3 linked regions of the Drosophila melanogaster genome follow. The protein of the gene in region 1 interacts with the protein of each later gene in a pairwise test. Each region holds a gene or a part of one and is shown on either strand. Other genes may lie near its edges.

The links.
Region 2: the proteins of Pp2C1 (region 1) and oc interact in a two-hybrid assay, tested with the Drosophila melanogaster proteins (one large-scale study listed by BioGRID).
Region 3: the proteins of Pp2C1 (region 1) and Ssu72 interact in a two-hybrid assay, tested with the Drosophila melanogaster proteins (one large-scale study listed by BioGRID).

Annotation. Positions count from the first base shown.
Region 1 is NC_004354.4:4,684,903-4,688,659, reverse strand, and holds the start of Pp2C1 (protein phosphatase 2C), read left to right. Parts: upstream 1-1,756; 5' UTR 1,757-2,503; coding exon 2,504-3,548; intron 3,549-3,757.
Region 2 is NC_004354.4:8,648,962-8,652,718, reverse strand, and holds the start of oc (ocelliless), read left to right. Parts: upstream 1-2,037; 5' UTR 2,038-2,344; exon of another isoform or gene 2,345-2,625; intron 2,626-3,757. UniProt on the Drosophila melanogaster protein: Transcriptional regulator involved in pattern formation and cell determination in the embryonic CNS and larval imaginal disks.
Region 3 is NC_004354.4:19,662,926-19,666,682, forward strand, and holds the start of Ssu72 (Ssu72 CTD phosphatase), read left to right. Parts: upstream 1-1,635; 5' UTR 1,636-1,720; coding exon 1,721-1,947; intron 1,948-2,009; coding exon 2,010-2,268; intron 2,269-2,326; coding exon 2,327-2,428; 3' UTR 2,429-3,757.

The sequences.
Region 1 (3,757 bases):
CTGATTGCGCGCGATTTTTTCACTCATAGTTCAACAGCTGTCACCAAATAAATTCTAATGCAATACCAAATTTGAACTTAAAAAAAAAAAGTTGTGGGCAGGAAAAATGCGGAATGCGTGTGTATGTGTTTGCTTATTTCTCTTTCGGTTTATTTTTTTTTTTAACAATTTTGCACGCAATACAAATTTAGCACGCCGCGGCTACTTCACTTTGAGAACAGAGAACGAGAAAAAAAAGAACAGTAGATAGGGAATTGTTTTTTCAGAAGATCTCTAGGAACCGGGTTGAAAAAACATTTGCCCCAATATACTTTATTGTGCGTGGATGTGTGGGTTTTTTACCGCTAAGCGTGTCGCCTGAATTTTACACTGGAACGGTAAATGGAAGGTAGAAACACCCTGACTTCTCGACAACTGAAACACAACTGAACGTTTTGCTTGCTGGTGATTAACTGAGTGACGGCTTCTATTTCGGTTTTCGACTTCGGTTAATCACACGACGGACGACGAGCTCCAACATACGAGTCGTAGGCGGCTCTGATTGGCCAGAACACGGCCGCGTCTGGCAGGCCACGCTTGGCGGGCGACGTCTGGCACCAGTGATGCTTATTATCGATTCGATAACACTTACCGATGTAGGGATGCTAATAATTGACTAGTAACGGGGGAATATTTTGTCGAGTATGGAATTAAAATCCGCGTAAAACTGTTGAAAGTCAAATATGTTCTCTGAAATCCTGCACTCGATAACCGGTATTCAATATTCGATTGAATGCAATTTAAAGACGGACATCACTGATATAGGAGTTCTAAACGATACAAGCAGCTGACTTTTCGGGTGCATTCGATTTAGCTTATCGCAAATATCAATTTATTTTATCGCACGCACTCGATTTATTTTATCATCTATGTATACATTTTTTTTTTTTAATTTTATATAAAAGAATTACTATTGCTGGCTAGCGGTGTTTCGATAAAAAAAACATATTTTTTGTATTGCAAGTAATTAAAACTATTTACAATAATAATGTTAAAGAAATCCAAGCCATACATTGTACATTCGATTAAATTTTGTATGATGCAACATAGTTTCAAAAGAAATCGACATGTAACTGACGAGAATATAAAAGCTGAGACGGATAATGAAACATATCTTTAATGTTATAAATTACAACCAGTTTGTTTCCAAATTTTTTTTCATTGACATACTTATTGCGTCAAGTAATAAACTAATTTAAAATAAGCATATGTAAAATAATAATGATACAATTAGTTTTTTTTATAAATGAAAACATTTATAATTATATGTTTGTCAAAAAATGCATTATAAAATGATATAAACGTTTGAAAATATACAGTACCCAAAATAATATTTGTATTCTTAATAATCTCGTTAGTTATCCGTAACTTGTGGTATTCATATATATCGCTATAAACATACGACTTTAGCTATATGAATGTATTTGAATGAGATGTGCAATAAGAAAATCGTTACCTTTTTTTAAACAGCTTATTGTGAATTCAATTATGATTATCATAATTCATTATGGAGACCAGACATTGTTTATTAAACTTATTGCTTTTAAATGTTAGAACAAATTTTAATTGCCAGAGAAAACTTACTTATAACAACTTATAATAAGTGTATAAATTACGAAAATCTTAAAAATAATGCACTCAATACATTCATCGATTGCAACCCCGTCCTCGTTGTTATCGATTGGTGTGCTGCCAGCATTATACATCGCCTATGGAGCGTGGTGTTTTCGACCTACTTTCACAACGGTCACACGCTTTCTATTTGATTTTTTTTTCAACATAATTTTTGTTAAACAATTTGCCGTGAATTTTGTTGTGTGTGTGGATGTGGACGTGCTGACAGCCAAAAAAATTAAAATAAAAAAAAAAGAAAAGTGTTCGCAAGTCGAGAGCAGAATCGAACGGCAAAAAATGCTGGCGAACAACAAATCATCAAGGTAAAACTGCGCGCCTTGGTCATTAAGTCTTTCATCGAGGATAAAAGACCGATGTCTTTTAACGTTATTGCTGTAAGCAAAAGCAGAAATCACAATCTACTCATAAATCCTCGATTTGGTGCAAATTAAAGGAAATTCATCGGTTTTTGGCGGCCAGTTGCAAACACAAAATACTAAATACGCTAGATGGAGCACGCATACACGCAAGCTCGTTGGCGAACGTAAATTACATACATCATATAGATAGTCGTCCCGCTTGCACTGCCCGTCACAGCGAGGGCTGCGAGAGCGAGAGCGGGAGAGAGAAAGGCCTGAGTCGCTTTTTCTTCTTGTACTTTATATATTTTTTATTGTTTTTTTGTGTTGTGTTGCGTTGTACGTGTGTGTGAGAGTGCCAAATGTCAACGGAAATTACAACACTGCGAGACGGAGAAGTCTAAAAGGCAGAAGAAGAAGAAGCAGCAGCAGGCAGCATAAACAAAACTCGGGGGAAAACCACAAAAAATAACAGAGGGAGAAGCAGGAAGATGTTGCCCGCCAATAACAGGAGTAGCACCAGCACCCATACCAACACAAATGCCAACACAATCAACGCCACTACCAATACCACCAACAGATGCCTCATCAATACGGCCATCGAAAAAACGGTAGTCCGTTTGCGAGAGACGGCAGCGAATAGCGGTACTTTCCAGGACTCAGATGAGTCGTCCGTGGAATTTGATATTATTAACTATTATGGGGACGACGGCGGCACAACTCCAGCACCAGCTCCAGCCACAGCCTCCGTTACTCGCCACGGCGGCAGCAGCAGCGGCAATAACAACAATAACAGTGCATGCCATCCAGCACTGGATGCCAGCAGTGATGTTGTTGTTGTTGAACCGGCAGCGGTAGGAGTCGCACAGGAGGAAGAGGAAGAGCCGGAGCAAAGGCCAGAGAGGATCAGCATACCCATTCCCGACCTGGCGTTCACCGAGATGGAAGCATATGCCGAGGATATAGTCGTCGATATGGAGGGGGGATCACCAGCCAAGCCTTTAAATCCAAAGAAACAACGTTTAAACTCAGCAACAACCACAACAATAAATCGCTCGAGGGGCGGCGGAGCGGCACAGAGTCGATTACGCCGGTCGGCGGCCATCGTTCCACCGCGATCGATTCCAGAGAGCTGTGCCAGCAGCAGCAATTCCAATTCGAGCAGCAGTTCCAACAGTAATTCCAGTTCCAGCTCCGCTACAGGAAGTAGCGCATCCACCGGCAATCCGTCGCCGTGCTCCTCCCTGGGCGTCAATATGCGCGTAACTGGACAATGCTGCCAGGGAGGCCGGAAATACATGGAGGATCAGTTCTCGGTGGCCTACCAGGAATCACCGATCACCCACGAACTGGAATACGCATTTTTTGGCATCTACGACGGACACGGCGGTCCCGAGGCCGCGCTCTTCGCCAAGGAGCACCTTATGCTCGAGATCGTCAAGCAGAAGCAGTTCTGGTCTGATCAGGATGAGGATGTCCTGCGGGCAATACGCGAGGGATACATCGCCACACATTTCGCCATGTGGCGGGAACAAGGTGAGCAAGAAATAGCTGGGAAACTAAGCCATCTTACAGTTGAGACAACCCAAAGAAAGCAGTTAGTTGGCATAAAGATTTTAAATCATACGAAAAAAAGAGAATATAATATACTTGTATTTGTATTTGTTTTTGTGCCTTCTCTCATGCAATTTCATATCAAAATTGTTGCCAATGCCAAGCGACCGTTAGAGATGCGCGAAAACTGA
Region 2 (3,757 bases), 4.0 Mb from region 1:
ATCGGTTTTTTACTTGCTTTGCGTTTTTTATTCGCTGACGCTGAAAAAGGCCGAACTAAAAAAGATACAATTTTCATGTTGGCAGTTGTAGTTTTTATTCGTATGTAATGAAATTTACGCGTTAGTTACTTACATATACTCCAAAAGATAAGACCTATAATTGTTAAAGTCTTATTTCAATTTTGGTTTTTCACAATTGAAATTGAAGTGAAAAAAAAAACAAACTTCCTATTGAAAGTTTAAATTAACTATTTGTAAATTGTGTAAGTAAATTACAGTTTTTGTCTAACTAAAACTTTTTCATTTGCGCGCAGTTTTTGCCTCCGTGAATTTTACTCCAAAAACATTTTACATTTCCCCGCAACATTTTTCATGAAAATTAGGTTTTTGTTTTATTTCATTTCGGGCTCTCTGTACAATTTTTTTTTCGAGATTTCCCGTTCGTTGTGTCCGAGTCCCAATTTGTGCGCTAAGCTTTTCCCCTCGAAGGGTAATTGCCTCATGTTTCATCTACACATCAATTAGCCGCAACAATTTAATTTGCCCGCCTGGAAATGGGAAAAGTGCGGTAGCTGGATAAAAAAAAAATAATAAGCACACAGCAATTTCAACAAGAAAAATCCATAAAATATTTGTGCAACATTTTCTCGCCGCCCAAACCTGCGGGCCGTTAGTGCGAGTGAGATGGCCAAACAACTGTCGTCAGCTATTTCAAATTGTCATAAAAATTTGATAAGGTTTTTTCCGCTGCTCCCCCAAACCACCCAACTCTGCGAATTTTTATTCCTGCGTCAGCTACAAGGCAAAAATATAACAGAAAAAAATGTTTGGGCACAAAAAGTGTTGGTTGCTCGAAAATATCATTTACAGTTAGACTGCCATGGTAGAGAATTTATAAATAAGCTAATTAATAATTATAAGCTAGTTGAAAATTAAAACTAACAAAACCGCTTTGCAAAACTAAATCATAATTATAATAGCTATATCTATTGAAATCATTTATTAAAGACCTCTTTTGAGCAATTCTTAGCCCACGAATAGCAAACTAGACTTTAAACCCAAATCCACCTTAAGTTTCGATTCTTTTCGCCTCACTTTGCGTAAATGATAATTGAACAATGGGGGCCGCCCATTGGGGCGAAAGAGAGGGGGCGTGCCAAGTGTGAGTGGCTGGCTCTCCCCATCCCTGTCGCGCTTTCGCCGCTGGTGTTGTGTGTGCATGGCAATTTGCGACGCAGAAGTAGAAGAGGAGGAAGCTAAAGAAGAAGCAGTAGCAGCAGTAGCAGCAGCAGTAGCAAAAGTAGCGGTACTGACCAGCGTCCTTTAAACGCCCGTCGCCACCTACCCCCGTTTCCTTATCTTTCGCTGTTAGCTAACAAATTTTTGCGTTGTTTTCGCTGTCTTGTCGTTTTCATTAAAATTTCATTGCTGCCGCGCAAAAATACGAAGGTACGTTGTTGCTTTTTTTTCCTCCTTTTATGACTATGTATTTTTTGCTCCTCGTTTTTTGCTCTTGTGGCAACAACAAAGTTGTTGAACTGAATTTTTTTGGGGTGTGGTCCCACACTCAAACGCACACCAGCAACGTACACACACGCTCATACACGCGCGCACACACACGCGCAGCAGCAACAACACAGCGGTAAATACAGCTGCTCAGCAAACGGTACCACCAGCAGTTGTCTCGCTCCCACTCAGTCAGGTTGTAAGCGGCGTGCGAGAGAGATGCCGCAAGAGAGTGAGAGAGAGAGAGAGAGCGAAATACTGAACGACTGGAACGGAGCGAAACTACGGCTATCTCACTCTGGCGCGCGGTAGAGAGCCGGGCAGCCATTGCTAAAAGCAGGCACTCACTCGCTCTCCCTCTCGTTTCCACCACCGCTGGTGTTTGTTTGTTGTTTTTTTCCTGCTTCTTCTTCCAACATTTTTTCTTGTTGTTTTTCTTTTTTCGCAGACTCTGGTCGAACGACTTTTGCTCTGCCCGCTGCTCGCTGCGCTGCTGCCGCCGCTGCCATCGTCCGTGGAAGGTGTACCGCAATTCATTTCCAGAGTAACTTTCGTGCCGCTCGGGTTGTTTTTGTGCGTCGTCCGTCGCCCAGTTGCTCAGTTGCTCATTCGCCCCGTTCGCCGCTCGTTCGATCGCTCTCGCCACTCGCCGCGTTCGCCGATAAGCAAGCAAGCACCAGCGCAAGCCAATAACAACAATCAATTCGCCGTCGCCAAACCGAATCAAATCAAATCGAAGCAAACTAAACCAATCAAACACAAATAAACAAATATCAACACGAGAAGCTATAGCTAACACAGCTATAGAGAAACAAAGAGCCCCAGAGGAGAATACTAAGTAATACAGAGAGATATATCCTTTTGGATATAACGCAGTGCCAAGTGACGAGAATCTGTTTTTTTACCGTGTTGCCAGTGCTAAACCATAAACATCGCCCAAAAAACATACATCTCTGGAATACAATATTTATATATATATAAATATACATATATATCTTTATATATATGCATGTGTAAAATATACTCATGCCATAACCATATAGTAGTTGGATCCGAAAACAAGTCACCATTGGAATACAGCACCGTTTTGCTTCTAGTTTTGTTTGTGTTTTTTTTTCGGTGAGTGCGATCCGCCGATATCGAGAAATCGGTAGCAATCTATATATCCAGCAAGGAATGTGGAGCCGAGAGATAAGCACGGATTACATGGGGAATCTGTAGACCTAAGTAGTTTTTGGGGGAGCGGGAATCTATCTTAGGGATTACTCTTATCAACTTGTTTATTTAGCAGAGATATTAGGTCACAAGTCTTACATTATCTATGACATATTTGAAATACACTCTTTAAACTTGGAATAATATTGAAAGATCTAACACGCTGTAAAGCTTAATTATTTTCTTTTTCGTTATCGCTTCAACTTTATTCTTGAGCCAATCTTCATTCTTCATTATAAAGCTCAGACTTTAGAGATATGTTATAATATGTTTGGTTCACTATTTTCGATTAGCCGAACTTGACAGATCTTTTGTTTTTCACTTACACTTCTACATATATTTACAAGGTTAAAATGTTCTTCCAAATGCTATAATCAACCGATATTATTTTGCCACATATACTAGTCTTTATTTAGCTTCAGATTCAATGGATCTTAGAAGTCTTTAATTGGAATACTATTCATTGATTTCGGGGACTCCCAAGTCCAACAATAGAGTTACCTATTCCATGCCCGAAACTTTGTTTCAGTTCCTTCAGCTCTTCGTGATATGATGGAGCCTTTTTTTTAAAAATCTGGTTTCGGTCAGGAAATTTCCGCCTATGACTAATGTGCTGATCGTAATGTGAGAAAATGCGCGTTTCGGAGATTCGTTATGATTTTCATAATTTTAATGGGCATATTAAGGCCGCCTCCCCTAATTAGGCAAAACAAAAAGAAGCCAGCAAGAGCCGACCAAATCGATACGAGAAATGTGATATAGAAAAAAGGCTAACAAAATGATAGGGCCAACGGCGAAGAAACCCCAAGAAAATCAATACTAGATACAATAGAAGACAGCCGACGGACCCGTTCGGGTCACATTATTCACACATATTCCCAACATCCCCACATCACCACATTCCCACTTCCCGATGTTAGCGATCGGATCGTCTAATTTCAAAGCGGCGGCTATAAATTAAAATATCTGAATAATACGTTGACTCCTCGCTGGCTACTTTGTTGTTCTGCTTTATTATTAATTTGCATATGGTTTT
Region 3 (3,757 bases), about 15 Mb from region 1:
ACGAAGGCTACAACGACGCCCTGACCGATCGAGTGACAAAGTACGACTAATATTGGATCTCAGGAACTTCGGTACTGCCGGCAGCTATTCGACCAACCAGTTGGGTCCTCTCTCCCTCTCTCTCTCGCTCTCGCTGTGTGTCTCTGTCTCTTCCTCTCACCTCACCCACTCATGCACACGCTGCTCACACGGACAGGTGAGCAGTGGAACGAGCCAATTCCAATATCAATTCCAGCTCCAAACGCCGCTTTGCACAGTGGAACATCATGGCCAAAATGGTAGCTTTTTAGCACAAATATTTTTTGTTTTTTCTACAAGATTTGTCCCAATGTTATTCCCGTATAATGATATCCAAAACGTATATGAATTGTGTTGTGTCACTTTTGTCAAAGTATAATATAAAATGATATACAATAAGCTTACTTTAAAATGTTTTTGGCCCAAAGACGCTACAATTACGGTTTAATATAAAATAAACAAATAAAGGTTATTTTAAATTATCAAGCAAGAATGACGTGGCATTGGGTTCAATGGGAATATTTTTTGAAATAGGTTTTTGTTAGCAAAAGGTGAAAAGAAGTTTAGACGCTTTTCAATCTGTTAATTGTTTGGAAAGGGGAGAAACGGTTGTTTTGATATTGTCGCAAGTGCCAAGCAATGCGACCCACTGTGCCGCAAACCTGCTTAACTCACAACACACGCGATGCGGCGGCTGCTGCTGCTGCTGGTTGTGGTGCCGCTGGTGGCGATGGTGCTTCTAGTCCTCCTGCCTCACTCCACACACAGGTAAAGAATGGAGGCAACGGCTCCAAGTTGCTCAGCCGCATTCCACGAGCTCCAAACTGAAAGGTTGTTGTCGGTTACTACTGCGGTTGCCTATGCGCTTGGGACGGCGAAATTCGCCATTGGGTGTTGCAAGCCGCTTTCAATTCAAGTTCAAATTCGCGCTTTAGTAACAAAATTCACTTATAGTTAGATTAACTCAGTTTTGGCGCTTTTCGTATCCAAATTCACTTCGGTTGGATTCAAAAATAAGAATTGACCGCCAACGCTGCCAGACTGCGTCGAACTGGTCGACAGTGTTGAAAAGTTCGTAAACTGGCGGCAAGAAATCGATATAACTAGTTGAAAGTGTCAATAGTAGTGGAGCTGGAGTCCAGAAAAATATTTCGAATTTAAAATAGATTTAATAAATTGGAATTATTCGATATAACATTGATATTAACCAGGGGGAGCCCTTTTTTATGCTAAGGGTAGTATGAGATATTTCATTTTATACAAGTTGCAGGATTATAAATACGTTTTAAGACATTACGATAGGTAATTGCCAGCTGTTAGTTTGATCATATTTAATGCTGCAGGACTCCTCGAACTTTAATTATGTTAAGTAGCTATGTATGTTATGTATTTGTTTGGCCAAAAATGTTTCAAAAACTCGAGGCTTTTACATAATTAGTTTTAAATATTCCGTACTAATTATCAGTTGTTATAACGTATATTTTTTTTAGGTTTTTTGAATATTTTGAACGTGAAGTCAACGTGTTCAATTAAACACTGCAGAATTTTTTAAATCGCGTGTTTTCAGATTAACACGTTAAATGTATGTTCGTGAATATATCGTATCGATATTCGTGCTCGTGGTTTTGCCATCCCATCTCCAATTTGATGAACATATTTTTCGACGACTGCGATTGCAACGCACTGCCAAAGAGAAAGAGACATGACTGATCCTAGCAAGCTCGCCGTCGCCGTAGTCTGTTCCTCGAACATGAATCGCTCAATGGAGGCGCACAACTTTCTGGCCAAGAAGGGTTTCAATGTGCGCTCCTACGGCACCGGCGAGCGCGTCAAGCTACCGGGCATGGCGTTCGACAAGCCGAATGTTTACGAGTTTGGCACCAAATACGAGGACATCTACCGCGACCTGGAGTCCAAGGACAAGGAGTTGTGAGTTATTCGTTTTTCCGGCCTACCGTTGGCTAATCCCTGCCCTTTCGTCCTGTTTACAGCTACACACAGAACGGCCTGCTACACATGCTCGACCGCAATCGTCGCATAAAGAAGTGCCCGGAACGGTTTCAGGACACCAAAGAGCAGTTCGACATCATCGTCACTGTGGAAGAGCGCGTCTACGACCTGGTGGTGATGCACATGGAGTCCATGGAATCCGTGGACAACCGACCCGTGCACGTTCTCAACGTGGATGTGGTGGACAACGCTGAAGATGCGCTAATGGGCGCCTTTGTCATCACAGACATGATAAACATGGTATGATCATCTGTCGTCCATTCCCTCAATTCGCCCAACGATTCTTGTGCCTTTGCAGATGGCCAAGTCCACGGACCTGGACAACGACATCGACGAATTGATCCAGGAGTTCGAGGAGCGCCGCAAGCGGGTCATCCTGCACTCGGTGCTCTTCTACTGACGACCGACGTCTGCTAACAGTTCGTGTCCAGCTCCAGCACCAACACCAGACTCCCGTAGCCCCGACGCGCTCCAGCCGAGTCACTCGATCTTGTACCCCAGGGGCTGCGATCGCAGAGCATAGGACGTCGGGCATTGCGCGCAGCGCGTGCGGATCCTGGGTTCCGGATTGGTAGCCTAGCATATAAGAATACTGTAAATAGAGAGGGGCCATCGCTGCAGCGAAAGCACATCCAACAACGACCAGCACCCACACACTCGCATACTCCAAACACCTGATTCGTAATCCACATCAACACCACACATGCAAGCAACTGGCTAATGAATTGGAATATAACACACAACCAATGACGACCATTTCCACACGGCTGCCCCCCAAAACCCCTGTAGTAGTATGTGTACGTGTCCGTATTCCTTGTAATTTCGCCCGTCGACTGGGGGTCTTATCACAGGCTCTCGCTTCCCTCAGCTGGCGAAGGCGCCGACCATCTGACTCCGACCCGTTCTCCCGTTCGGCCGCTCTGCCGCTCTCTTCGCCCGGCTTTGAGTCCGATTCGGACTCAGATTCGGATTCGATTCACATAAAGTGAAATCTCGCATCGTGATTGTGTGAATGAGCATGCACGCCAGAGAGCCACACAGGGGCGGAACGGTCTGGGCCCTCGCGGGCAGGGGCCGCGTTTTTTAATTTTACACAGTTTTACCAATTGTTCAGACAGGGCAAACCCGACCGACCTTGGTTGGGGCTGTGCGTTTTAAACCAAAGGCAAAGGCCCGCAACGGGCGCTAGCTTGCAATAGAAAATAAACAACAGGGGAGTTGTGTTCACTAAGGATTGGAATAAAAGTGCACGCCAATTTATGCCGGTTTCTTGTTGACGGCCTGTGTCACATTTACCCTGCGACCTCAAACCTGCCTAGGTCTTCTCTTCGACGGAAATACCATTGATTACGTCTCATCCCACTGCTACCTCGGAGTTCACCTTGATCGGACGCTGAGTTGGAAAGCCCTTATCACGGCTCCTGGAAACTGAAAAAGCTGGACTGGGTTTTCCACTCAAGCAAACTCCATATGGCAACTAAGGCTCTCTTAATAAAAGCCATATCCAAGTGTGGGGAACAGAGTATTAGAGTAAGACAATCGGGAGCGGCACGACATGCATCTGGGCTACATGTGGTATGTGAGCAATAGAGTTATTGAAGGGGACTTAAAAGGTGTCCCATTGGGGTACCAAATAAACTTCCATAGCAGCCGATATGCCGACAGACTTAGCGCCCACTTAAACACGTTAGCGAATGATCTTGTCGACCCTATTTCCCTCCGATGTCTG